3 linked regions of the Macaca mulatta genome follow. The protein of the gene in region 1 purifies or fractionates together with the protein of each later gene. This does not show direct contact. Links are inferred from orthologs where the notes say so. Each region holds a gene or a part of one and is shown on either strand. Other genes may lie near its edges.

The links.
Region 2: the proteins of FASLG (region 1) and SNX9 purify together in Homo sapiens (co-immunoprecipitation; 3 studies listed by BioGRID and IntAct, with this or other methods). This does not show direct contact. The link is inferred for Macaca mulatta from reciprocal best matches to the Homo sapiens genes FASLG and SNX9.
Region 3: the proteins of FASLG (region 1) and SNX33 purify together in Homo sapiens (co-immunoprecipitation; 3 studies listed by BioGRID and IntAct, counting the BioPlex papers as one, with this or other methods). This does not show direct contact. The link is inferred for Macaca mulatta from reciprocal best matches to the Homo sapiens genes FASLG and SNX33.

What each region holds. Positions count from the first base shown.
Region 1 is NC_133406.1:30,153,771-30,163,414, reverse strand, and holds the start of FASLG (tumor necrosis factor ligand superfamily member 6), read right to left. Parts: upstream 5,981-9,644; 5' UTR 5,939-5,980; coding exon 5,594-5,938; intron 5,043-5,593; coding exon 4,997-5,042; intron 832-4,996; coding exon 775-831; intron 1-774. UniProt on the Homo sapiens protein: Cytokine that binds to TNFRSF6/FAS, a receptor that transduces the apoptotic signal into cells. Involved in cytotoxic T-cell-mediated apoptosis, natural killer cell-mediated apoptosis and in T-cell development.
Region 2 is NC_133409.1:76,687,097-76,696,636, reverse strand, and holds the start of SNX9 (sorting nexin-9), read right to left. Parts: upstream 5,835-9,540; 5' UTR 5,623-5,834; coding exon 5,611-5,622; intron 1-5,610. UniProt on the Homo sapiens protein: Involved in endocytosis and intracellular vesicle trafficking, both during interphase and at the end of mitosis. Required for efficient progress through mitosis and cytokinesis. Required for normal formation of the cleavage furrow at the end of mitosis.
Region 3 is NC_133412.1:53,687,822-53,697,677, reverse strand, and holds the start of SNX33 (sorting nexin-33), read right to left. Parts: upstream 6,128-9,856; 5' UTR 6,038-6,127; coding exon 4,567-6,037; intron 1-4,566. UniProt on the Homo sapiens protein: Plays a role in the reorganization of the cytoskeleton, endocytosis and cellular vesicle trafficking via its interactions with membranes, WASL, DNM1 and DNM2. Acts both during interphase and at the end of mitotic cell divisions.

The sequences.
Region 1 (9,644 bases):
TCCCCACAACGTCATGAACATAACCTAAATCTCTGCAGTACTGAAATTATCATAAATGCCTGTCTTTCCCTATTAGATGTCAAGCTCCCTGAGGGCAAGAGCCATATGCTACTCATTTTCACATCCCCAAATTGGTGCACATCAGGTATTGAGTAAGTGTCTGCTGATGTGACCGGATCATTCTACAATTTCTGCCTAAATAATTCCAGGGACAATAGCCTACCACTTTCTGTGATATTTATTCCATTATTTATGATTTATTTTTTTGGGAGTTTATAATGGGAGTGCCCATACCATATCATTTCACTCCACTTTACAGGCACATATTGAAAGTCTACAAGTGCCAGGAGTGAGTCTCCCTTCTTGCTCCTGTTTATACTCTTGGACAAAGCAGAGTGAAGCTCTTCCAAAAAACCAAGAAAGCGCTGACTAAAACAAGTCCTCATTCCTCACCTTCTCAGCTCTCACCTCTTGGATCTGTGCCCCCAATCACCTAAGGGACTTTGGAATGACTGAAAAGAATGAGCTCCTTATGGGCACGGGTCATGTCATAATCAGCTCCAGGTCTCCAATTTAGAAGGCCTTGCCCAGAGAATAGGGGATCGAAGTGTGTTTATAAGACTGACTCGACAAGGAAAATGTTAGTATGATTGAGTTCAAATACTGTCACCAGGAAGTAACAACTCTCTAGCACCTGGTAATGGAAACCAGGCAGCCATTTTGCCTTTTGCCAAAAGCTTTCCCAAACCCCACCCGTACCTTCCAGATACAGACCTGTTAAATGGGCCACTTTCCTCTGCTCCTTTTTCTCAGGGGGTGGACTGGGGTGACCTGTATCATAGAGAGAGGAAAAATATATGTTAAAATGAAATACCAACTATTATTTTGGTGGGAATTTAAATCCCATCATTTAAAAAAAAAAGATTTTAAAACCATAAATGGCAACAGTCTAACATATACTAATCATGTAAGTCTGAACTGCGGGATTCACCGTGGTCTATATTTCAGAAACAAAGAGGTAAAAAATAAACCAAATTAAGATTGACACATGCATAAATTATAATGTTACAATAAAATATAATTAATATAAACGTTTATTCATAATGAGCTGTCATGTCAGTTATTGCATTTAGAACTCACCACAACCCTTTGAGGTATGTATTGTCCCACCCCTTATCAATTGCAACATGAGCTTAGAAGTTGGGTGACTAATCCAACTAGTCAGCATCAGAGATGGGACCACACCCTGGTCTCCTGACTCCAATTCCAGGGCTCTGTCCACTCTGATTCTCTTGTCCCTAAGACTTACAGGAAAGAGACTGAAGAAGACCACTAATCTATCTGCGTGTCACCAGATCTTCCCCCAGGGACATTTTACAATCTTCCCCAAATTAAGTATCTTAAGTCCTCAGACAATTACCTCATATCACTGAGGCCTCAAACACCTTTAATGGCTCCTTCCTGAAGATGCAGTTGTATACAAGTCTCCCCATCACACAAGCCCAGCCCATCTGTCCAGCCTTATCTCCTTACTCCCACTGAGCACTGCCACACAACGGGAGTTCTGTGGCCTACACGTACCCCCACTTCCCTTCCTCTGTGCCTTTGTTCATGCCATGCCTTTTGCCCATAATGTTCTTTCAAACAGATTTCTGTGTCAAATTCCTAAACATCCCATAAGGACTATACCTCTTTCTTTGGGAAACCCTCTCAAACCTTTTTTGATCAAATATGATCTTCCCCTCTTTTGAAATCTAGGATCATTCTGTCTTCCCCTCTCTTGTCATTTCTGACTCCTCTTCTCTGGGGTAACTACATAAATTATCTTATTCCGCTCAAATAATGACAAGTTCCTTACGATATGTTGAATTCACCAGAGAAGCCCAGTTCCTAACACAGGGCATGTTACTAGCAAATGTCAGATAAATTAAATGGAAGAATAGACAGTAGTTCTCAAAACAGACACTATTTCTCTGACTTCAACTATTTCAGACAAGATAGACAGCTGCCACTTAGCTAACGCATTCAGCTAACTGAGACCTCAATAAATATTCACACGAGATGCTTGAATACGTCAGGTTCGTGATTAGCCTGTAAAACTCACGTATGGTGTGAGAATGGCCCAATTCACAGAGAACATTACCTGAGCGATCATGATCTCTCTGGTCACCCAAGACAACCCACCATGAAGGAGGTGTTAGTGAACAGGAAAGGCAAAACTGAGTCTCTTCTGCATTCCTACACCGCAAACCACCCGCGCGACTCATCTGGCATTCAGCCATGCACCGGCAGGAAACAGAACCGAGAACCACATGTTGCATATCTTTTTATCCCTCACAGAGCCTAGTACAACATTATTTTTACAGAACATGCTCACTAAGAATATCTGCTGTACATATGCTGGAATAAATAAACTGCAGAGATACCTTAGACACTGGTGATGAGTGCTTCCTGCCCCAGGGTTTTTGCATGTGCCGTTCCCAGTGTTGAAATGCTCTCCCCCAGCCCCACCCCACTCCACAGCACATGCACACAGCCCTTCGCTCATCAGGCTTCTGACCCCCCAGGTGTCAGCATAAACACCTCCTTAAAAAGGATTCTCAGCTTATACTTAGTACAACTTTGGAATTGTATGGTCTGTTTGCTTGCTTTTGTTTAGCTTCTTCACCATGCTAAAAGCTCTATAAGGACAGGTCCCCTGGGCTGGCTCATCCTCGATCAGCGTCCAACACCCAACATCTAGCCTCACGCATGTGAATGAATAAAAGATTTAATTAGCTAACTGGAAAAAAATGGAAAATGTAAAAAGGAACAAGTTAGAAAGTATAAATAATCTATAGTAGTATCTCCCAGAGAAAATCACTGTTAGTATGTCAGTGTGTAGAACCTTCTAGTTCCTAAGAATATAAAAACGTGCATACATGGTTACATAGTCAGTATGAAACGAAATATATCCTTTTGTAACTTGTCTTTTTATCTAACAATACACACTGCACAATCCCCAAGGCATTAAATGTCCTTCTGATACATCATTTTTAGTTGCTGCTTATTATGTGCTTGTTTCAATACACCATAATGTATATAACTAATCTAGTATGAGGCATTCAAGTTTCTTCTGGATTGTTTATTATAAATAGGCTCATAAGGGAGTAATGAACATCCTTATATATAAATCTTCAGGCACATCTCTGATTATTTTCTTAAGAGAAATTCTTAGTGATAGGATTACAACATAAACTATTAGTTTCAAGCTTTTGATATGTATTTCTAAAGTGCTCTTCAGAAAAAGTTATAGCAATTTACATGTATACTGGCTGAAACTAATGTTTAAACAGCACTTTTCTTTCAAATCTTTGTCAGTCTGGGTTTTTGTTAACTTTACTAATTTGATGAAAATTGGTGTTCCCTATTTTTAGTTTGCATCTCTTTTCTTATTAGTAAAGTTACTGATTTGATTTCCTTGTGATAATTTAACAATTTCTGGTTCATCTGGGTTGATCTAGAGAAGATAATTGCTTACTGGGGTAGATGGACATGACTCGTCTGGTCATTTGATTTTTAATCACTAAATTGACTCCAGAGAGGAGGTAAAAGATGAATGCTTAGGTACCTATCAGACCAGGCACATTCCACAGGTTTTCAAAATGATCTTATTTGAGACATCCTCCAGAGGCTTTATTTTTCTAGCAAATATTTCCACTCTGCTTGTGTACATATGGACTTTCTAACATTTAAGGATTAGGACACAGACTCAGGGGCCAGAGCTTCCCAACAGTGGCTCCTATAAGAACTTAACAGTCTAGGACAGTAGACAGGCGACTGGGTTGCCTGCAGTAGCCACATCCAGAGAAACTGAAACTTACTTCACTTAATAGATGGCCAGTGCTGCCTTCTTCTTTATTCTGAGTTTCTAAGGATGCGATCTATCTATAGTCTTTGCAGAGGTATCCTGCTTTTCCTCTATTTCTCACTCCATGCTCACTACAGAGAGACAGGAGTTTCCCTACTTCATGAGGCACCAGTCCAGTACCGGAAAGCCCTGTAGGTGACAAGGCATCAAGAGCCTGTGTTCCTTCTAGCCCCAGTTCCATACTAGGGGTCTTGGGCATATTCACCTAATCCGTCTGGCATTTTGTTTCTCTTCCAAAAAAATGAAATGGCTGGACTGGATATTCTAAGCTTCCTTCCAACTCTAAACCTTCAGTGAATCTCATTGTAAATCTAAATCTAAAATTTCAATGAATCTTAGGCTAGTGAAGCACATTGTAAAATCCATCTGTACAGAGCTTGCAAAACTATGCCCTGAAATTTCACGAGATCAGTGTTCCAACATATCGTCTTCTTGCCCTAGCTCCCATACAAAGGATTTTCCTTTGTGATCAAGGGTACCTCATGACTGCCTCTGAAGCTGAACATCCTTTGAATGATGGCTGAAGTCTTCCCTTCAGCTTCTCAGTGACTTCAAGAAAAACCATTCTAATGTACGGAATTGATTAGCCACATTTTAAAAGCTTACGTCCTATAAAACATTTTGTAAATAAAGTTTCACTGTAATCTCTTTAGAGGCTTTAAAAGAGGAGAGGACGTTTCTCAGAAACATCTGTCTCTGCCTTCACTTCGCCTTCTCTTCCCAGAAGTCATAGCCACTGGCATGTGTGCCAGGACCAGGGTGTCTGTGGAAGGGGACAGGCCTGGAACCACTGCTCAGGGGGCAAAAGTCCACGGTTGTATATGTGTGTCTCTTTCCAAAGTCAAGCGGAAGTGATTTTGAATTGTGTGCCGTGCTCAGCTATATTGATTGTGAGCAATTCAATTCACTTCACATTTATAAAGCAGCTCAAGGAATCATACTGACCAGAGATTCCGAATTAGCCAGGATTCCTCTCATAGTATACATAAGCCAAAGTGTAGGACAGAATATAAGGCATTCCATTAACATATTTCAGTGCTGAGGATCATCTTTAGGAACTCAATGTACATGTGAAAAAGGACTCACCTATTTGCTTCTCCAAAGATGATGCTGTATGCTTCTGGCTGGTAGACTAGTAAAAGAGAAAGAAAAAAGATGCATAATAAAAATAAAATTATTTAAGCAAAAGAGACAGAATCGTCAAATAAACCAAGCCCTGGAAAGAGAATCCAAATACCTCAGAACTTTTGCTGACTCAGGCTTTGGTCAAGCAATTTTGCTTCACTGTCCCTCAGTTTTGTGATTTGAAATCGTACCAGTATTTTAAGTATTTTCAAGATTTAGTTTGGTCATCTGAACAAATTTACTTCCAAGCAAAACTTAAAAGTTTTGTTTGTTTTTTACTCCTTAAATCACTAGGTATGAGGCAGTAAGTGGTTCAACAGACTGAGTTGACAACTGAGGAAAGAAAAACTGTTGGGCTCTGATTCTTTACAAAATAAAAAATATTCCCTTCACTCCTATGAGCCTCCATTTCTCTGCCTATAGAATAGAATAACTAGAACAACCCATTTCTAAGAAAAAAAAAAAAGGATTGAAAAGCACTTTGCAAGCCAGGCAGTGGGCCCTCCACCCCCTTATGCCTGGTGCCTCCAGGGCACAGCAGTCTGCCAGCAGGCTTACCTCTCGGAGTTCTGCCAGCTCTTTCTGTAAGTGGAAGAGCTGAAACATCCCCAGTCCCAATCCTACCAAGGCAACCAGAACCATGAAAAACATCACAAGGAGACAAAGGCCTGTGCTGTGGTTTCCCCTCTTCTTCAAGGGTGGCAGCGGTAGTGGAGGCAGTGGTGGTGGCGGTGGAGGTGGTAGTGGCGGCGGCGGCGGCGGTGGTGGTGGCCTCCTTTGACCAGGCCTTCTGGGCACAGAGGTTGGACAGGGAAGAACTGTGCCTGGAGGGGCCCAGGGAGAGCTGGCACTGCTGTCCACCCAGTAGATCTGGGGATATGGGTAATTGAAGGGCTGCTGCATGGCAGCCGGTGAGTCAGGCCAGCCCCAGCAAACGGTTTTACTTCTCAATCCTGTAGAGGCTGAGGTGTCAAGGACAGGACTCCTGTTGCTGACTGCTCAAGAGGAGGCAAGCTGGATCTCTCTTATAGAGTTTCCATAGCTAAGGGAAACACCTCTGTCTTTCTCTTTCTCTATGTCTCTCTCTGATTCTGCTTCTCAAAGAAACACCCACTCACTTTGCAGCTGAAGCTGAGAAGCCTCAAGAAGCTCAGAGCAAACCCCTGGAAGTTTCCGCCCACAATCTTCTGACGAAAGCCTTGGAAGCCTCAGTTGCTATCGCTGTACTACCCAAACAGGTTGGTAGGCTATGCTCACCTTCCTGGGATCCTGTAGAGCAGGTCAGCATTGGGGTAGAGCCCTGTTGGCGTGAACTGCTCCCAGCTACAGGAGAATGGCCAGTGGGGCTATAATTTTATGAATTATAATTGTATCCTTTTTTATACATTACAATTGTATAATGTTAAGAATTCTACCATGTATACGACCAAAAAACTATTTAAAAATACCAAAATAACTCTAACAAAAATTGTTCAGAACCATATTTTTTAAACTATAAAAATTTTACTGAAATTGGCTCTGAGGGGAGAGACCATGGAGCCATGGCCAGAGAAGTCACTCCCACATTTTCGTTTTTGCAGGAGGAAAACACCTGTTGCCATCATCGCTTCCCCACACACAACTACCATTTACCCTGACCTGCCAATCACCATAATTTACAGGTTAAAAAACCTGCTACACCCTCTTTAGAAATTAGATCAGAGGCTGCAAACAGTGGAACCCACAGAACTGCTTTGTATTTCACAATGTTTTCATTTTCATTGTTTGCCCAGCTTATTTATTTACGTATTTATTTAAATAGAGACAGAGTCTCACTCTGTCACCCAAGCTGGAGTGGAGTGGTGCTATCGTAGTTAACTGCAGCCTCAAACTCCTGGGCTCAAGCAATCCTCTTGCCTCGGCCTCCTAAGTAGCTGGGATTATAGGCATGAGTCACTACACCTGACTTATTTATTTATTTATTTATTTATTTTTGTAGAGATGGGGACTCGCTATGTTGCCCAGGCTTGTCTCAAACTCCTAGCTTCAAGACATCCTCCCACCTCAGTTTCCCAAAGTGCTGGAATTACAGTCATGAGCCACTGCACTCAGCCCAATTGACCACTTTTAATATCAATATTAAAAATATTTTAATATATATACATTTTAAATACACATTAAAATACATATTTTTGTTCTGTTTTGCAATATCAGAATATCAGACACCCTCGAGGCCATCTCTGCAAACCCAATCAGTGGGAAGTAGGTAGCAGCTGCTCCTGAGAATGAGCGACAGGTGTTCTGGGTCACCCAGCCTCCGCCAGCGGCCTGTGTCTCACACATCACCTCACCATCTGAAAGGCCTGCCTGGTCCTTGCCGATATTTCTGTGTCCTGTCCCTGTTATGGTTGCCAGATTAAATACATGGTGCCCAGTTAAATTTGAATTTCAGATAAATAATACATAATTTTTAGGACGAGTATGTCTTAAACACGTCCAAACATGGAATACACTAAACAATTATTCATCATATAACTGACATTCAAATTTAACTCTGTGTCCTATTTCTTTGTTTTTCTGTTGTTGTTTAAAGTTGGCCTCTCTACTTGGGCTCACCTCACCCTTTCCTTTGGCCTCACATACCATTTTTATGCCAATAACTTCCAAGTAGTTAGCTTCAGTCTTAATCATTCCCCAATAGAAGCCAAATAAATCCCCCATAAATCCAAATTTTTCATTTCTTTCATGTTTATTACCTTTCAAATTTCATTAGTTTTTATATCATGTTTTGGGATTTCCGTGACTGTCATTCAGGCCCACTCACCTGTACCAAACCAATACCAAGGATACTCTTTCCCTGATATATTCTGCCCATCCCACCCCATCCCCATCCCCGTACAATCTGTTTCTCCTGAGGCCACTCTTTCTGGCGGCAACTTCATCTCCTTTCTTTTCCTCTCCCCCAATGTTTAACTGGTCACCCAGGACTGTTGCTTTTACCTGAGACCTGTTCCTTACCCTCCCCTCGGTTTACTGCTCCCCTCCCCCATCCTTACCACTCCCATTTTTCTTACTGCTATTGCCTGGGCTCAGACTTTTTATCTCTCACCTGAAATACTGCAATAATGACCTAACAGGTGCCCTGCCACTGACCTTTCCCAAGCCCAAATCACTCAGTAAAATGCTACAAGAAAGATGTTTTTAAAAAACAAACCTAATGATCTCACTTCCCTTCCTTGTGTTGGAAGGTTTGATTCCAAGAATAATGCAAGCTCCTTACCATTACCCAAGGCTCTTTAGCATCAGCTCCCACTGCCTCCTTATCAGGCACTCCTGCTCACATCCCACTCTCCACTCTTAAACAGTGCAAGGGATGAGACTTAACTCACATGTGGCTTTATTCATCATTATGAATTCAACTAACTTTAAACGTCGTAATAATCAGAAATTGTAATTTTAAGAATTCTATCATATATGCAACAAAAATACTATTTGAAAATCCCAAAATAACTGTAACAAAAATTGTGCAGAGCCATATTTTGTTTTTTATTTTTTTGAGACTGAGTGTCACTCTGTCCCCAGGCTGGCGTGCAGTGGCGTGATCTTGGCTCACTACAACATCCGCCTCCCAGGTTCAAGTGATTCTCCTGCCTCAGTCTCCCGAGTAGCTGGGACTACAAGCACATGCCACCACACCCAGCTAATTTTTGTATTTTTAGTAGAGATGGGGTTTCACCATGTTGGCCAGGATGGTCTCGATCTCTTGACCTCATGATCTGCCCACCTCAGCCTCCCAAAGTGCTGGGATTACAGGCATGAGCCACTGCACCTGGCCCACATTTTTTAAATTATAAAAATTCTACTGAAAATGGCAAAGATTCAAATAAGTGGGAAAATACACCATATCCTGGATGGGGAGGTGCTGTTGCATGATGTTTGGGGGTGAGTGGTTCTGGAGTTAAACTATGTGGCTTCCAATCCCAGCTCTTCTGCTCATTAGGACAGGTCAGCTTCCCTCCTCGATGCCACAGTTTTCTCATCTATAAAAATAAGCACGACCGTAATAGTACCTGCTTTATGGGGGTCGGGAGGAGTAAATGAGTCAAAGCATTTGATACACTTAGAATAGTCCCTAGCACCAAGGTAGGCACTCAACAGATGTTGTAAATTTAGTGAATCTTTCCCCAAATAATTTATCTATAAACATAATATAATTGACCTTCTTCCATTAAGGACAAAGTGGAGAGAGGGAAAGAGGTTGCGGGGGAAAGTGCAAAGTCAATGTTTGACACCCAGTATCTCTCTGAAATCCTGCCCTGAACTGATGGGCCCCTCCATTTCAGACTACTACCTCCCGACTTTTCTATCTCAAACTCCCCACAGAAACTTCCAGCACTGTCCAATAAGAATTATGCTGTATTTTTACATCTCCTTCTTCCCCGCTGCTTCTTTCGATTCATTCTGCAACGGAAGAAATTAGAAGCCCATACCTGCTCCCAACTCTCCTGCTATCCTCCAGGCATAGAGAGAATCTGAACTGAAATAGAGTCAAAGAGAGCATCTTTAAACACTCATATTGATCTTCCGTAATGCCACCAAACATCACAGGTCGGCAAAATCATGGAAAAAT
Region 2 (9,540 bases), on another chromosome or scaffold:
ATATAGATATGAACAGCACAATAAGTCTAATGGACATACAGCATACAGAATAGACACACACATCAATAATATATATACTCTTTTTGTCCACAGGTGAAACATAAAAGCTGACTATATGCTGGGTATAAAGTTAGCCTCAACAAATTTCCAGGTACAGTACTGATTTTAATCAGGCTCCCTGATCACAATGCAATCAAGTTAGAAATCACCAACAAGAAAGAGAAAAACCCAATACATTTGGAAATTAAACACGCCTCTGAAAACCCATAGGTTAAAGACAACTCTTCAAAGTCTCAGAAATATGAAGCTTGTTCCAAGTGCCTTAAAACATGAGGCAATTTCTCATGTAATCATTAGTAAAATTGATTATGTTTTAAAAAATATTATTGCCAATACCTAAGGTGCAGATGTAAATTTTGTGTTGTACCTGTATACACTTTTAACAAACACACAAAAACACATAATTAAAAGAACAAAAGCTTACAGTTAGGGATTAATATTTTCTACTTCAATAATCGAGTCACTTATCTCACTAGAATATTTTTGCTCTTTAAACTGGTCATTGAAGATACGAAAGTGAGCACACACACAGTCTCAGCTTCTTGAGGCTGACAGCATTCAATGGAGACAGCCATCAATTATAGAAACAAATATAAAATGGCAGTCGGGTGTGTAATGTGACCCTGAAACAGGGGCGGGGACATCAGGAAAGGCTTCCCCAGGGAAGTGATGCTTAGACACATTAAGACCTAATATGTGACCGGGCACAGTGTCTCACACCTGTAATCCCAATACTTTGCAAGGCTGAGGAGGAAGGATCACCTCAGCTCAGGATACATGGTGAAACCCCATCTCTACAAAAAATACAAAAAGTAGCTGGGCATGGTGGCGCACACCTGTTGTCCCAGCTACTTGGGAGACTGAGGTGGAAGGATCACTTGAGCCAGAGAAGTCGAGACTGCAGTGAGCCGTGTTAGTGCCACTGCACTCCAGTCTGGATGGCAAAGGGAGACTTCATAATAATAATAATAATAATAATGATAATAATAATAATAATAATAACTTAACATCTAGGCTGGGCGCGGTGGCTCACGCCTGTAATCCCAGCACTTTGGGAGGCCGAGGTGGGCGGATCACAAGGTCAGGAGATCACGACCTGGTGAAACCCCGTCTCTACTAAAAAATAGAAAAAAATTAGCCGGGCGCAGTGGCGGGCGCCTGTAGTCCCAGCTACTCGGGAGGCTGAGGCAGGAGAATGGCGTGAACCCGGGAGGCGGAGCTTGCAGTGAGCCGAGATTGCGCCACTGCACTCCAGCCTGGGCGACAGAGCGAGACTCCGTCTCAAAAAAATAAATAAATAAATAAATAAAATAACTTAACATCTAAAAACAAAGTACCTAGGGAAGGACAAGGGAGAACAGCATTCCAGAAAAGAAACAGCAGTACTGCAAAGTTACAAAGTTTTAAGTAAGCAATTAAAGTAAAACTATAATTTAATTTTTAGATGGTCAATACAAAAACAAGGCACAGTAGAAAACTGCAACATTTTTATGATTTCTAATATATTCCTTCTTTAATGAGACTTGTTCATCTTTCTACCGTCACAGAACTTTTCTTTGACTGTACAAATACTGCACACTCCACTTAAGACACACAGAAAATACTACTGCTATACAAACTTAAATGGTTAGCATTTTCCAAACATTTAAAAAACCATAAAAATCAACTTTAATCCTTAAGACCCGTTAGAAAGATATTTCTATTCTAGTCTTCAAATAAAGAGGTTTCTGCTCTGGAGATGCCACAAAGTGTGCCTTCTAGATTGTTCTCACTAACCTATACACGGAATAAACAGCAATTCATTTATTCCCTACCATTATTTTTAACATTCCATACCCACTTAATTTAACCAGACAAGCTATGTAACATGTGTATAACTAAGTATTGGAACTGAGGAGTTAAAAAAAAAAAAAAAAAGCAACAAGAACTCCTAGAATCTTGTTATAATTAGTCTAAAGGTGACTATGTAAGCACAAAAGGATCCAAATTAGTGACTGAAGGTTAACTTTGACATGGAAATTACAGCTAAATTATATAGATATGGATTAACCTCCACTAACAATTTTCTTCATGTCCCCTTTGACAGACATTGAAAAAAAATTCATTTCTTTCCTAGGACTTGATCTTTTAAATAAAACATGATGACTGACAATATATTTATTGTATATTTTGTATTTATTCTATATATTGTATATCGTATATATAATATTTATCAATATAACGTATAATATAAACAGGTTATATTTTGGCTAGGTCAAAATATAACCTTTGGAGGCTTCCAATAAAGATCAAGACTAAAATGCTCTGCAGGTTTTGTATTAATATTTGTAAAACAAGACTTGATTGCACTGAGTGAGTGCATACACTTAAACTGAATGCAGCATTCTACTGAGTAAGGATTAGAAATAGAAAACAGATAATCCCTTTAAAATGTGCAGTTACTGATTAACTTTCTTTTTTTTTTTTTTTTTTTTTTTGGAGACAGAGTCTCACTCTGTCACCCAGGCTAGAGTGCAGTGGCGCGATCTTGGCTCACTGCAAGCTCTGCCTCCCGGGTTCACACCATTCTCCTGCCCCAGCCTCCCGAGTAGCTAGAACTACAGGTGACCGCCACCACGCCCAGCTATTTTTTTTTTTTTTTTGTACTTTTAGTAGAGACGGAGTTTCACTGTGTTAGCCAGGATTGTCTCGACCTCCTGACCTCGTGATCCGCCTGCCTCGGTTTCCCAAAGTGCTGGGATTACAGGTGTGAGCCACCGCACCTGGCCCTGATTAACTTTCCTTAGCAGTGAAGGACTGTTCAACTAAACTACTTCTTCTAAATGATAATTTCCTTTTCTATTGTAAAATATACTAGTGCAGTTTTTTAAAATGCCAATAGTTCAGTGATAACCACATCCTTAAGAAAATACTTAAGAACAAACAAGAAAATTGTATCTGAAGATACTATAGCCAAGTTTCTGGTAAATTCAAAGGGAAATGAACATCCCCTAAAATATCCAGATCCTGAATTTACTTTTCATCACTTAATACTTACAGCAACAGCCTGAGTGCCACTGGAGCCATTTATTAAAAATTAGTCATTACTACTAAGCACATTCTCCCCACCCCTTGAAGAAGACGAAGAAAAAAAACAGAACTACTCAGGTGTGGGGAAGGGGTGTGTATATGGGGCAAGTGAGGAAAGTAGCAACTTGTCTCTCTGGGGACAATTAAAAAATGAGACTTTGGTTTGACCCAAGTATCACCAGGATGTCAGAAAACTAAGGAAGGGTCTTCTTCTAACAACTGCTTCATTGCTCTTCTTTTTCTTAAAATGGAAATGGTCTGTCACAATGTAGACATGGAAATGAGCACCATGTGGAACAGTGATTAGACAGCGAAAGAAACTAACAGAATTACTGGAATTTGCCTTCGGAGTGGTGTAGATAACGAAGTAGGAAGTGCTTATGCATGTTTTAAGGCTCGTGTTTAAGCAAAGACACATGCAATTCAAGATTAATATACAAGAACCACTTTTCAATTTTTTGAAAAAAAAAATTAAGTTCAGGCTTAACTATGAAATAAAAATTTCACTACGTATACCTGCACTAGTTGCTAAACTGCATTCCACTTAAAGGACAGTACAGGTAACATGCCTCAGTAGACCAGAGTGTAAAAACACACAGACCACCACTGGACAGATCTCTATGTCATACACCGCCTTGGTTTTTTTTTTTTTTTTCAAACGGAGTCTCCTCGCTCTGTAGCCCAGGCCGGAGTGCAGCGACGCCATCTTGGCTCACTGCAACCTCCGCCTCCCGGGTTCAAGCGATTCTCCTGCCTCGGCCTCCCGGAGCAGCTGGGGCTACAGGCGCGCGCCACCACGCCCAGCTAATTTTTGTATTTTTAGTAGAGACGGAGTTTCACCATATTGGCCAGGCTGTATGGAGCTCCGACCTCAGGTGAACCGCCCACCGCGGCCTCCCAAAGTGCTGGAATTACAGGTGGGAGTGAGCCGCCGCGCCCAGCCTATAAACCGCTGTTAAGGTTGCAAGATGAGCGTGTACTAGGATGTGTAACTGGTAATTTCTGGAGTGTCTGGCAACAAACCTCAAAATCAAATTTCCTTAGAAATCCTTGGCCTAAGTTTTATTTTTAAAAAGGTCAACACAAAATTAATAAGTTCAAAAGGTGGCAAGTTCTATCACATTAATAAAACCAAAGCACAGCACAGGCAATAATATATTAACAAGAAGGTAATTATTTCAGTAACAGCAGCAACAGGTTCCCTGGAGGAGAATCCCCACTTCTCTATAAACGCTGCACCTAGATGGATTCAGAGCACAAAATTTACCACAGGACATCTAGCAGACCGAAGTCAAGCAACGCTGATCTTTTAAACAGATTTCACATTTCTTACCATTTCCTACCTTAACACTCCACCAAAAAAAGCAAATAGCTATCGAAATATAAAAAATAACGTTTCTAGCAACCCAAAAGTAGTCAGAGATCTCAAAAAAAAAAAAAAAAAATAGGGAAAGGGGTGCTGATGCTAATAAAGTGACACTACAAAAACTAAGTGCAAAAGTAAACCTACTCCTCACAGCGTATCACAGAACAGTTAATGGTTCAGGTACAGAGCCTCCTCCCCCAGGTCCTCCTTCCGCGACCATGACTCCCCAGTGACTATTTTACACCAAGTAACTACTGAAAACGCCCAAGGAAAAGGAGTGGGGGAGGGTGGCTTTTGAAGATTCAGGTAGCAAAGAGTGACTGCTAATTTCATAAACAATAATGCAAAACAAGCAAACCACCGCTCCTAGCCAATTACCAAGCAGGAGTCAAAGTTCCACCACGTAATTCGGGCCTGGGCCTTTTTTAGGCAAACACGTAATCGAAAGCACAGTCATTTCCCTCTTGATATTTTATTCATGCCGGCAATACCATTCACACTGAGCAGGTAGCAAAACAAAAGAAAAAAATAACAGCAGAGAAGGCAGAGGGGCGCGGGGTGTCCCAGCCTCTGTCTCTCCCCGGCCGCGAGCTCCCGCAGGCCGGGACGGGAAGCGCAGCGTCCTCTCTGCTGAGGTCTCGACCCCCACCCGCCCCACGGGGCCGAGGGTCCCCTGGGCGGCAGCGGGAGGGGACGTGGGGGCGGCGGGGACGCCAGACGCCGCGGGGACACCGGACGCCACAGAGAGCCTGTCGCCTCGGGGGCCTCCCCGGGCTGCGGGAAGTTTCCGTCCCGCTCTCGCGGCCCCTCCCGGCGAGCCCGCCGCAGCCCAAGCTCAGGTGCAAACTTCCCAAACGTCGCTGCACCCGGGGTCCCAACCCGCGCCCAGACCCGACGCCCTCCCCCGGCGCGATCCCGGCCGTCTGCACGGTCCGCCGCACCCATGCCCAGAAGGGACTGGCTGGGCCGCGGACCCGCCCGGGGACCCCACCGAGGACGCAGAGTGGCCCCTCGGCCGCCCCCGGCCCCAACCCTCCCCGCGGCCCCAGCCCCGACCGTCCCCGCGCCGCCGCGGGCCTGAGCGACCGGCCGGGCCTGCGCTGCGCGCCCCTCACCTTGGTGGCCATGGCGGGCGGGTCCCCCGGCCCGGGACGGCCGGCTTGTCTCCCGCGCCGCGGATGGTGATTCTGAGCCGCGCGGACGAAGGCAAGGGCGAGGGCGGCGGCTCCGGCTGGGCCCCGGCGCGGCGGCCGCTCCTCCGCCTCGGCCCCGAGTCTCGACGCTCAGGCCCAGCCGCTGGGCGCTCGGCTACTCCCGCGCCGCCCGCTCCTGCAGTTCCTGAAAGTCCCCGGCTGCGCGGCCCCCGCCCCTGCCGGCCGAGCCTCCCTTTTACCGCGGCGCGCGCGGCGCCCGGCGGAAGCGCGCCCTGGGCCCTCGGCCGCGGCCCGGCCTCCTCGCCTCCTGGCCGCCCCCGCGCTGCGCCGCGCCGCGCCGCCGCCCCGGGCAGTCGCTGCCGCCGCCGCCGGGCGCCCTGGGTCGAGGACGGGGGCTGCGTCCCGCGCGGCGGCGGGATCCGGACAGGCGCCCCGGGCCATGGCCCGCACCCTGCGTGGCCGCCCCACAGGAAGCGCTCCGCGGCCCGCACAGCCGCTCGGGGGAGCCGAACCCGACTCCGGTTCACGCTCGGCCAGCGCCGCACGCCGTGGCTCGGGGCTTTCCGTGCATGAGGCGGGCGGGGGGGCAGGAACTCTCGACGCTCCCGGCAGACAGGAGCCCCGCAACCCCGCTGTCTTTGCCCCACGCCGAGGGTGTTGCGGGGTCGCCGTGCCCTTGGCCGAGTACTTTGAGTGCCACGTAAACAGCCGGGAAGGAACGGAGCAATGGCTTCCTGGGCCTCTTTCTCCTGCCCGGAGGCTCCCTCAGGCTGGGGTCCTGGCTTGGAGCCCCTGGGACGGGACGGTGGGGGGTTCGTTTTGTGACGTCCCATTAACCTCATTCTGGAATCTTGATAAGTTTAAAAATGCCCGAGGGCCCAAGAGGTTTAGGGGACAACAGGCTCTCTGAAGTGGAAATGAGGGCTCTAAAATTTTCCATCTTTCTGTCAGTGTTTCTCTCCAGAGTTGGAGATATATATATGGGTGTTATGAATAAACGAATGACTTGAATTGAGCAGCAAGATTTTTCGCTCAAGGACAAAACACAACTGGAAGATGTATCATAATTGGCATATTAGTGGAGTGCTTTTTTATTATGAGGGATATATTTGTAAGAAGAGACAACTATCAAATCTTCAATACTCTGGTATTTAGAGTTAATGTCAAGTTTGTGTCTCCTTAAATACATTCTATTTGACCTGAGGTTTCACTAGTTACATTCAATAATGTGGTTTAAAATAGATACGGTATCGCAGAATTTTCTGTGAATTTTTGTGTTTGTTGAGCTCATGGTTAAGCTATAGTCGTCATAATATGCATAAATAGTTGTCTTTCTCCATAAAAAAAGATGGAGGCCAATATTCATTGACAGCCTGCTTGCTATATACTGGGCTTTTACATCCCCATCTCATTTAATCCTTATAAGAAACGTTTGAGAAGCTCATTATTGTCCACTGTTTACAAAGAAGAGCGAATCAGGGCTCACTTAAATAACTTGCGCTTTTGGTAATACTTACTCAAATCGAAAATGACCACAGCCTTGGACCCAGCAGCCCTCCTAGGAGTTTATCCTGTCAAACTTGTACAAGTGATCAAAGATGTTCATCAAAGATTGTTCGGTCCTAACTCCAACCAGAAAACAACCTATGTGTTTGTTAACAGGACTCTTTCAGTAAATAAGATACATCCATTCAAACAAAATACTACAAAGCCCGTAAGAAAATAATATTTTAAGAGGTGTTAAGAAAGATAAAAGAACATGATGTATGGTACATTTATGTTAAAAAAAAAAAAAAAGGAAATGTGTTATACATGCCTAGAAAACTTCTGAGAAAGTTTCGCCAAATCCTGTTGTCAGAGTTTTTGACCATGTGTATGTATGACTTCCTTTAAAAACAGAAGTTATGTTTTAATAAACAATGGAAGAAATAACTTGGCTAAGAGTACACACTAGTATGTGGAAAAACCAGGATTTGAACTCAGTCAATGTCATAAGTAATGAGTTTTCCATATTCTTTTAAATGTGAAGCCTGGGTACAGCTCTCTCTGCAGCCCTTCAACCATGCCTCCCTTGATAGGAAGGCACAAAGTTAGGGGCACACCTGTGAAGACACGCCTTTCCACACGCTCATCTGGCAAATTCTATGCAAATAGTCATCCTGGGCACCCGGCACCATGAAAGCAAGAAGACCAGAGACTTCAAGCTTTTCCCACCTGAACAATTCCGTAACACTGGTTTTATTTTTTAGAAGTAATGGTGGAGGGCTGAGATGGAAAGATTGCTTGAGCCTAGGTGTTCAACACCAGCCTGAGCAACATAGTGAGACATCATTTCTAGAAGGTTTGTTGTTGTTTTAAAAAGAGCAAGACTATCAAAAACAAACAAAAAAGTACATAAAAAGAGATAAACGTGGCTGGGCGCTATGGCTCACGCCTGTAATCCCAGCATTTTGGAAGGCTGAGTTGGGTGGGTCACGGGGTCAAGAGATCAAGACCATTCTGGCCAACATGGTGAAACCCCTTCTCTACTAAAAATACAGAATTAGCTGGGCATGGTGGCGCGCCTGTAGTCCCAGCTACTCAGGAGGCTGAGGCAGGAGAATCACTTGAACCTGGGAGGCAGAGGTTGCAATGAGCCGAGATTGAGCCACTGCACTCCAGTGTGGGCAAGACTCTGTCTCACAAAAAAAAAAAAAAAAAAAGAGAGATAAACATGCCTTTCCACAATAAGCCACACTGCAGGGATCTCGTACATAACTAAACTCTATCACATTTTTAGTAATGAATCGGGTAGTATATCTCCAGTAAATACTGCCAAACTTAGGAGTTTTATTTTTATATACGTCAGTCAAAATCAACATTACTTCATGAATGTTGTTATAGAGGAGACCTACTTTCATGGAATATATTTATATATAGAAAGAGAGAGTGGGTCTTGCTCTGTCACCCAGGCTGGAGTGCAGTGGCCCGATCTTGGCTCACTGCAGCCTCTGCCTCCCGAGTTCAAATGATTCTCCTGCCTCACCCTCCCCAGTAGCTGGGATTACGGGCACCTGCCAGCATGCCTGGCTATTTTTTTTTTTTTTTTTTTTGTATTTTTAGCAGAGATGGAGTTTCGCTCTATACTGGCCAGGCTGGTCTCAAACTCCTTATCCCAAGTGATCCGCCTGCCTCAGCCTCCCAAAGTGCTGGAATTACAGGCGTGAGCCACTGCACCCAGCCATGGCGTTTGTCTTCTGTTCCCACTTGATCACCCATGCACATCTCTCTTCTGTCCACCTCCTTCCTTTGAGCGAGCTTCCTCAGAGCTGATGCTCTATGCAGGCCTGCCTTGAGAACCCAGAACCCTGGGTCATGCTAAGTTCAGATTTTCCTCTATAGCATGAGCTTCCATTACTCCAGGGGTGAGAACACAATTAGTTAAGCAATTGGATTTGCATTTGCAGACTGCTTTTGGTTATTACTAGATTGCACTTTCAAAAGAAAAAGACATGTAGCCAGAGCAACAGAGCCACTCTGTTTAGGCTTTGTACTCCAGCTTTTTTTATTTAATCATATCACAGGAGGTAAAGTGATTAGGATTTGCAGGAAGCCTCGTCCAGCCACACAGCTGGGGGGACAGGAAAAGAATGACCACCACTTCTTCCCTGGGTTTGTTCAGTATGGCCCGGTGTTTTTATTCAAAATTAGATTCTCCTTATGTTTTTAAGAGCTCAGAGCCCAACTAAATGCTTGGTCAACTAATGGGAAACTAATGTGGGAAAGTGCGGCTCCGGAAACTAATGTGGAATGGAGTGAAAATGTGTGATGGTCACCTCCTCTAAGGCTCGGAGGATGAGAAGAATGTGTAATAATATAGTCAGCCTGGGTCTGGCACAAGGGGATACCTCT
Region 3 (9,856 bases), on another chromosome or scaffold:
AGGTAGAAAACAGCAGGGTGAAGAAACTGGAGTTAAACTTCCACAGAAGGAACCCAGCTAAACGGGAGATACTGAACTAGCCTGGATTCCACCTGCCTGAGAAAGTTGGCACAGTGGAAGTGCATCTGTAGACTTTTCCTGCCCATGGCCTTGAAGGAAGGAAAGGTCTCTTTTGCTAATGAGGAGCCCAAAGAGTAAGAATGAACCCATTGCAATGGTTAGGTATCAAAGACAGGCAGGAGGCCAGGGATGGGGAGCAAAGGCCACAGAGGTCGGGGGGAAACAGAGGCCCCACCCTACTCTCCGTTACCCCTCCACCCTGTGACTCAGCTCTGGGGCCAGGACCAGCTAATGCTAATGCACCCCACCCCACAGGCTGGGAGTCATGGCTCCGGCCTGTCCAGCATCCCCCCTACATTCTACTTAAGACTTAACCTGAGAGCTGAGGACCCAGGAGGACCTCCTGCCTCAGCACTCCTCTTACAGGCTGGGTCCCAGAAATGCAGAAAGGAGGGCTGGAGCCCACCAGCTGCAGAGTCCCAGGGATATTCCCTAAGCTCCCACCTCAATCCATCTTGCCGCTACCTCTTGGAGATAGCTAACATCCACCCCAGGTTGGGGGCAGGAGGGAGCAGGAGGTCTGAGTCTTAGTCCTAGCTGTGTCCTCTCCAGCATGCCACTGCTCTTGCCTGGGCTCCAGGTCTCCCCACTGCCCAGTGGGACAGGTTGCCCTAGATGTGATGTTGTTGACAACCTCTCATACGGTATAGTGCTTTAGAGTTTCCACATCTGTAAAATGGGATAATAATAGTACCCGCCCTATAGTATAGTTGAGGCTTAACTGAACTAATATGTACATAGTAGAAAGGATCGTATCTGAGATAGAATAGGAGCTTCAGATGCTACATGCTATAGCTTGAAAACTACTTTTCTTTTCTTTCTTTTTCTTTTTTTTTTTTTTTTTTTTTGAGATGGAGTCTTGTTCTGTTGCCCATGCTAGAGTTCAGTGGCTTGATCTCGGCTCACTGCAACCTCCGCTTCCCAGGTTCAAGTGATTCTCCTGCCTCAGCCTCCCAAGTAGCTGGGATTACAGGTGCCCGCCACCATGCCTGGCTATTTTTTTATATTTTTAGTAGAGACAGGGTTTCACTATGTTAGCCAGGCTGGTCTCGAACTCCTGTGATCCGCCCACTTTGGCCTCCCAGAGTGCTGAGATTACAGGCATGAGCCACGGAGCCCAGTGCAAACTGCTTTTCTATGCATGAGCTCACAGCAAGTACCTTCAGGTGGTAGCTCACAGCAGAGTATTATTCTCTTTGTTTACGCCTAGGGGGGTGAGGTAGAGGGAGGGCTAGATAATGGCTTAGAACCCAGAGGCTGAACCCATCTGTCCCCAAAGCAAGAACTTGTCCCTACAATGGCCACTTTGCTTTGACCACGCTGTCCCTGTGGCCCCTCTATGGATGCTCTGTGGTCCTGGGCCTATCTCTAGCCCATGGGACCAGTGAAGGAGCACCCAAGCCTTCCTCCCTCCTCTTTCCCCTTCTGGCTCAGCTCTCCATCCCTGGGGATCCCCTCCCCTGTCTGGAGGGCACAGTAGAAACACAGTAGAAATCCTGGGCTGCGGAGTCAGACACATTGGGCGCCAGCTCCTGCTCTGAGGCTCATCTGCATTGCTGCACCTCGTCTGTAAAACGGAGGTGACCACATTGCCCTCCTGACCTGTCATGAGCCTTAGGACCAGCCCTGCTCTTGCTGGCTCTTAAGTTGGGGGGCCATAGGTCCCGGCTTGCCCCGGACAGTCCTGGACACTTTCCCCTTGTTGTCCTGGGATCACTATTGCTAGGGCCCCCTTTTATGCCCCAAACTGCCTATGGTTACCCTTCTCTTAGGAGACCCCTGGATTGGGCTACAGGGACTAGGCCCGTGGGAAGACCAGGCTCCTTTCAGCTCCAGCCAGGGTTTATGTCCCATTTTATTTCATTTTATTTTTATTTTTGAAAAGCATACAAATTTGTTTAATGTAAGTTTCACATGACATGGAGCCCTCCTAAGGAAATGAAGACCCTCAGGTCCCATTTTGTTCACCTAGAGACTGAGGGGAGAAATCTCTCCCAAAGTCATGTCAGATGCAAAGTTTGTCCAAATCCTGGTCTCCTGACTCCCACCTAGGCCTCCACTGTCCTTCCTCCCACACACTCACCACCCATTCAGATGTCCAGACAAGCTGAACAGAATCCTTGGGGCCCAGGACCCAACTGTTCTTCTCCTTTCTGTGAGAAGGGCTCCACCCCTAGGGCCAGCATAGGACCCCCTCCTTATCACCCCCATTGGGCTGTGGTCCCCAAAGCCTGTCCAGTTCTGTCTCAGTACCCGCTCCCTAACTTGCCCCACACCACAGGCCTGGGAGGAGCAGTGCGGAGCCCAGAACTTAGAGTAAGCCAGAGGGGGCTTAGCCCATTGGTAGGGTTCATCCCGGGAAGGGAAGGAGGTGGGCTGGCCTCTGCTTCAGGTCAAATGCATCAGCACAGAGGACAGTGGCCCCTGACTCTTAGAAACACCTCAAGTCGAAACTCAGAAATGGCCTCTCTCAGTTCGGTCTCTCTGCCCAGGGTCAGAAAGGCCAATCCGGCTTCCCCCTCAGCCTGGGAGGCCCTGGTGTCCTTCCTGGGTGTGGGGCTGCCCTAATGCCCTCACCTCTGTTCTGGGTGGGGGTCCCCAGCCACTACATGGGAGCATCTGTTTAATCATTGCGCTCCCCCTCCTGCTGCCTGCGCAGGAACAAGCCATCTAAGGAGCTGGTTGAACCAGCCTTCCCACTTCTGCTCAGGGAGACACCTGCCCCAGTGGGCCCCCAGCAGGCCTGGCCATCTCCCCTGCCCTATTCCTGCCCCAGAGCTCAGAGTCAGAGCTAAGGTGTCATTCTGCTTCTGAACCAGACCCTCCCCAAGAGTCCCTTCCCACCCACTCCCTCGAAGACCTGACCTTCCCTTGTTTTACAGACCAGGAAACTAAGACCCAGAGAGACAAAGGCACTCCCCAGGGATGCACAGCAATCTAGGGGCAGAGCCAAGACTAGCACTCAGGTTTGTGTTTCGTGGAGTTCAGAGGAGGAAGAAGAAAGGTAGAGATGAGAAAAAAGAAAAAAAAACAGGAAGAGGAAGAGGATATAGTGAGGGGAGAAAGGAGGCTGGGAGCTAGAGAAGTTATAGAAGTCAACCTCTTGGTAAAGGAAAGTAAGGCCAGCTTACCCCAGGTCCTCCCTGGTGGTGGTGGGTGACATGTTTCCTGTTCCCCAGGCTCAGTCCAGAGGTCTGCCTCCTGGCCCCACCCAGAGTCAAACTCCCCACCAAGCCAGGCCTGACCTCAGGGCCCAAGGGCCAGGGAGCCAGCTCCACGCCCTGCATACGAGTTACCCAGCAGCCCCAGGGAGGATCACACCTCTCTCCTGACATCTGCCCTCCTAGCTGTCCCCAGGACTCAGGTACCTGCTGGGGCAGTCACTGGCTGTCTCCTCAGGCAAGAAGAGAAGCCAGGCTTGGGAAGCAGGAGTTGGATAGGCCATGTGGGCAGTGCCCTGGACCCCTGATTCCGCAGCCTGGTCCAGCCAGGGTGCCCCTGTGTGACCCAGGATGAGTCATTTCCCCGGCAGTTCCTTGACAGCCCCAGCAGTAACAGGCAGAGGCCCATCCTGTCCCTCCCCCACGGAGGGGGTCATGACAACTGAAAACACGGCTAGGCTTGGGAAGCGGCCAACATGGACGTGTCCTTGGGGAGGTAGCAGGAGGAAAGGACAGTCCCAGCCGGGCCACAGGCTGTGCAACCACTCTTCTGTGGACACTAACTCCTTCATCCGCAAAATGGGGACAGGGATCTTCCTGCACACAGACAAGACGCTCATAGAGAGAATACACAGTGGTGAGAGTAACTTGCAAAGCTGCAAAGGTGGGGAGGTGAACTTGCAAGGGGCAGAAGACAGGCCCCCACTCTGAGCTCTTGTTATCTGGGTTGGGTCTCTGTCTCCCAAGGGCCTACCGGCTCCTCCAGGGCAAGGCCTGGGGCCCGGTCATCTGTGTGTTCTCAGAACCCAGCATGACACCATGCATGATGGGTAAATGAGATCCAGAGAAAATGAATGAATTGACAAGAAGGTAAATATCAAGCTCCATGAGGACAGAGACCAGGCCTGTGCACAACAATATTCCTGTACCTAGAAGCACATTTGCACAGATACAGAGTTGATACTCAACATGTTTGTTTGTTTGTTTGTTTGTTTTAGAGACAGGGTCTCACTCTGTCACCCAGGCTGGAGTGAAGTGGCACAATCGGGCTCACTGTAGTCTCAACCTCCTGGGTCCAAGTGATTGATCTTCCTACTTCAACCTCCCAAAGTGCTGAGATTACAAGCATGAGCCACCATGCCCAGTCCAACACATTTGTTAAATGAATGATTGAGACAGAGAAATAAAGATAAGTTGCTCCATTCTATCCAGGCCATCCCCATCTCCCCAGGGCCCAGCAGAGAGTCAGACTCAGGATGGGTTTCCTGCCTGCACTGGGTCTTACCTTTCTGTAGGTGGATGATGTCAGGGAAGTTAGAGAGCAGGCCCTGGTAGAGAGACAGTGTGTCCAGCATCTGGAAGAGGTCATTCTTGGGCTGCTCAGCAAACATCTCCCCGATGGCTTCATAGGTACGGCCCGTGTGAGAAATGGCACTGTTGAGGGCCTCAGAGCAAAAAGGGGGGTCCATCTGGAAGGAATGACTGATGGCCTGGAAGGCACTGCCCAGCTTCTGGAATTCCTTGCGGAAGCCCCCCACGTGTTTACGCACCAGCTCTGACGCCACGGTGCTGAGCTGCAGGACACTGTCGTCCATCTTCTTACTGAAGGCCTTGAAAGTGTCCACGCGATCTTCCACGTCCTGCAGGTCCTGGTGCTCGGTGGGGATCTGGAAGGTGAGCAGGAAGCTGGCACCCACCATCTCATCCTTCTCCGCCCGGCGTTTGCCCATCTTCCACTGCTTGTCATCTAGGCAGCTAAGGAAATGCTGGAAGCCTTCGTACTGGGAGAGCACAGGGTGGCTGGTCATGTGGTCCATCCAGAGGATGAGTCTCCGCTTCCGCTTTTCAATGAAGTCCTCCTCGAAGCGGCCTGTGGCCTGCTTCTCAGGCAGGTGGGGCACTGAGATGACAGTGAACTTGTGTAGCAGGCGGTTATAGAGCCAGTCAAAGTGTTTGTAGCGCCGGTAGACAGGTGAGGCAGCATGGGTGGGTGTGAGCTTGTAGGAGATGTAGCTTTTGATGCCCTTGAACTTGGTCTGTTTTGTGGGGTCCTCCACAGAGCAGGCAAATGGGTGGGGGTTGGCCTTCCACTGGGGGCCACGAGGGCCCATTTCAATGGAGTATGTCTCAGCGATCTTGGCCATCATGGGCACATCACCTAGGATGAAGGCCTCCACTCCAGAACGCACAAAGCATGAGAAACGGTTGAGGTTACGGCCCACCACACTGCCTCGCTTGGCAGATGCCAGGCTGTCCTGCCGCTCCAGTGGTGGCTTGGGCCGGAAGGCCATGTGCTGGCTGGGGTAGGCACCAGGGTAGGAGAGGTTGAGGGGAGGGTGCCCATTGGTGCCCAGCCCACCAGCCCGTGGCTCCTCCACCACTGTGCATCCATCGTCCCAGTCATCCCAATCATCATCATCATCCTCCTCGAAGCTACCCTGGTTTGAGAGGAAGCCACTGCCCCCACCACTCCTAGCTGGGTTGGCCACACTGGGGCTATTGTACAAGCTCACGTGGGCCCCCGGAGAGCCTGCAGGGCTGCTGGAGTAGTCAGCATGGTTGGTGCTGATGCCAGAACGGACGATCTCCACGTAAGAGGCAGGAAAGAGCCCTGTCTCCCCACGGCTGTTCTGGCCCTGCAGCCAGCCATCCAGTGAGATCTCGCTGAAGATGACCAGGTCCTCATCCTGCTGGATGCTGATTTCCTCCTTGTTCTCACTGTGAAAGTCATAGAGGGCTCGGCCTTTCAGTGCCATGGTTGGGCTGGGTGGTACAGACAGATGGGAAGGAGAGGGTCCTGTCCAGACCCGGGATGCTCACAAGGAAGTCCAAGAATGCACTCGCAGCTGAATGGCGCTTACACAGTTCAATCTCTCAGGTCCTAAGGTGGGGTCTCAGCACCCACAGATGCTGTCCAATCTCCTGCTCTTCAAAGCAATGTCCACGGCCCAGAAACTGCCCTATCAGGTCTCCGGGCATATGCTTGTGAGCAGGGAGGGCTCATGTCCATAGCCTCCTCCCTTAGCAGCCCCTGGGGGATTAGAGGGGAGTCTCTCCTAACTCCTACTCCCAGAAGAAAAGTCAAGTGACCTGGAGAAATCTGCCCTGGAGGGGAAAAATTCGACACTTTCCACTGGAACAACGTTCTAAAATAGAAGAGACTCACTCGGAAACCACCATTCCAGAAACCCAGGCAGGGCTCGGCTGTCCCTCTGGCTCCCAGATTCTTTTGGCCACTCTCGCTTTGGGAGGCTCTCACATTCCTCTGCAGATCTGCCCCTTCCTCCTTCCTCCTCCTCTTGCTCCTGGGCCACTGGGTTTTCAAATATCCGGAAAATCCAAGAGGGGCAAGGAGAAAAGCAGCAGCCTCCTGAATCGAGTCCAAGGGTGGATGTGTCCGGCTTCACAACGAGCCAGGCCGGGAAAACAAGGACTGAGGCTTACACAACAGGCCGCCAACTCTTCGACCCCGGCTGCGCAGCCGGAGCCCCCGCCGGCTCGGGCGCCCTCTCCCCGCCCCAGAAGTGGCCAGTCCCAACCCCGGAGGAAGGAGGGGGCGCGACGAGGCGGTCGGGCGACTTCTGGCCAGTCGCTGAGTGGTCTCTTTTGTTTGCCTAATTCCTCAGCAGTTTCTGAGACTGACGCTGACCCTGCTCTGAATCCCAGGAACCCCGTCCAAAGGTAACCCCAGCAGAAACCAGTTCCTCACCCGGGACTTACGACCCCCGACCCCCACCCTCGCGTGCACGCACACACTCAACAGTTTGGAGTTTGGAGAGTGAGCTCCGGCGAGCAGATGGCGCGGCTGGCCGTCTGTCCGTCCGTCCTCCGCTCCGCCCTGCGGGGCCCGGCCAGTGGGGGGCGGGCTGCGCCCCCAGCCTGCCTTCCCCTGCGCTCGCAGACCCTCCGCGCCGCCAGCGAGAAGGCAGCTCCAAAACAAAAACGCGATTCCGGGAGGTGGCGTCCCGAGGAAGGAGGGGATCGCCAAAGGGGAGGTGAGGGGTGGGGAGAGGGAGGAGGGAGGGGGAAGCAGGCTGGAGAATCGGGCAAACTCCGCTGCACTTCCGTGCGTCCCGGCGGGGCAGGGACGGCCAGCTCCGCCCTCCCGCGGGCCCGGGGCGCTGCAGCCGAGCCCCCGCCTACTCCTCCGCGCGGCTTCCCATCTGGCCAGTGCCCTCGCTCAGTCCCGGGCAAGAGGGAGGAAACGACCCGGGAACGAGGGAGCCCGAGAGCCTCCGGGGCTGGTCTCTGGGACCGCCACCTCCTCTGCTCTCCCTCCGTCTGTCTGCCCTCGCCGGGAGACACCTCACGCCCCCGTGGTTGGAGCGCCCGGCGGTGGAGCTTGCCAGCCACTGCTGCCTCGCTTCCTGGACTCCGTCATCCTCCTGCCTTTTCCGTGACGCAAATGGAGTAAAACTCCCAAAGTTTGCAAAGCGTGGGGCTGCAAGGAGCACCGCGCCAGAGCCAGGATGGGGAAATCGGGCCGGGCGGGGAGAGGTGCGTGAAAAGCCGTGCCAGCTGGGGTTGGGGAGCAGAGTCGCGGGCTCGCCTTCCCACCTTCCCATTCCCCACTCCTGCTCCGCAGGGACGGGGTCGTGGCGCAGCTCGGAGATTGTTTTCCGGAGGGGTAGAAACGGCCTGCGCGTTCCGGGCGTCTGACCTAAGATACCGACAGCTGAGGGTGCAGCACCCTAGCCAGATAGGGCGACCCTGCCCTGGGCGACTAGCTTGGAAGGAGGGAAAGACACTACCCTACATCTGCAGCGACAGGGAACAAGTCTAGGTGCCACCCGGTTCCGTGTTGCTTAGTGCGGCAGCGGGACTGGATGTTCTGTACTAGCCAGGGGCAGCAAGGAGAGAGGTGGTCAGGTAGAGAGTCTTGAGGCAAGTGGGATCTGATCCTCGGTCAGCATATCGGGAACACTTTGGGCACTGAATCTGCTAGGCACTGTGCTGGGCACTGGGGAGTACACCACAAGTCAGTCGGGGTTCCTATCCTGGGGGGCTTACAGTCCATCCTCTCTTGTCTTTAATCAATCCATTCTCAGTCATTCATTCAGCCAAGTCATGCACTCAAGAAACATTAACTGAGTATCTACTCTGCACCAGGCCCCTGAGCTACAAAGACAATTAAGACATTATCCTTATTTTCCAAAAGCTCAGATGTGTTGTGACAAGTAGACAAATGCTCCCTGCCCAGTGTGACTAGTCAGTGCCATGAAAAGTGCACATGAGGATACCTACTCCAGCCTGGGTGGAGCAAGGATCAAGGAAACCTTCCTGAAGGAAGAGGTGCCTAAGATGAGGCAAAGGCTTCAGGAGGATCCCCTTTCCTGGCTGTACCCTGGAGTCTTGTCTACCCTGTCCAGCTAGATCTTCCCTTCATTCTCTCTCTAGTCACTTATTGCAGATTAACTGGTACAAGGTAGTTCTGCTAAAGATGGATACCTTTGGCTGTTTTGAGGGACATGGTTCCCAGACCTCTGGCCCCAAAACCCAGTTTCACTGGTTGAGTGAGTGCATCCGACTAGCTTTGCAGGTCTGGCATTTGACCAGAATAAAGGCCTGTGTACAAACCCCAGAAGGCTAGGTATTAATTTGCACAGCGAAATAAAACTGTCAAGCAGAACTGAATTTCTGCATCAATAGATCAAGGCAGTTTGGGCTACCCCTTTGGAAGCCCAGTTACCAGAAAGTTAGCTCAGTGAGTCCGGAACCTCCAAGAGGGGAAAAGGTATGACGAGTCTCTTAGTCAAGTAACCTTAAAACCTTGTTTCCTGTCATGGGGCAGCCTTGATTCTAAAGACACAGTTCCTCCTAGCATCTCTAAGACTGAATATACGTTTTCCCCACATGCTTTTAGGACCCCTCTTCCCTGTGATCTATCTTCTGTCCACATAGCCTTTCTCTAAACTGAGTTTAACAATAGCATCAGGGCCGGGTGCAGTGGCTCACACCTGTAATCCCAACACTTTGGGAGGCCAAGGCAGGTGGATCACTTGAGCTCAGGAGTTTGAGACCATCCTGGGCAACATGGTGAAACCCCGTCTCTACTAAAAATACAAAAATTAGCTGGGCGTGGTGGCGTGTGCCTGTAGTCCCAGCTACTCAGGAGGCTGAGGCAGGAGAATCGCTTGAACCCGGGAGGCCAAGGTTGCAGTGAGCCGAGATTGCACCCGCCACTGCACTGCAGCCTAGCGACAGAACAAGACTCCATCTCAAATTTTTTTTTTACTCCACTTTCCCCACCAGCTATTGCCCCATTCCTCTGCTCACCTTTGCAGCAAAATTCCTTGAAATAACTCTCTCTCCTAAGTGCGTCCAATTTCTTTTCTCCTGTTCTCTCTTTAAATCCCTCTAGCCAATCTTTTACTCCCACACTCCACTGAACTATTCTTGTCAAGGTCATCAATATCCTTGGTGTTGCTGGACCCTAATGGTATTATTCTCAGTCCTTCTCTTATTTAACCTTTTGGTAGCATTTGTTTTTTTGTTTTTTTGTTTTTTTTTGAGACGGAGTCTCGCTCTGTCGCCGGGGCTGGAGCGCAGTGGCCGGATCTCAGCTCACTGCAAGC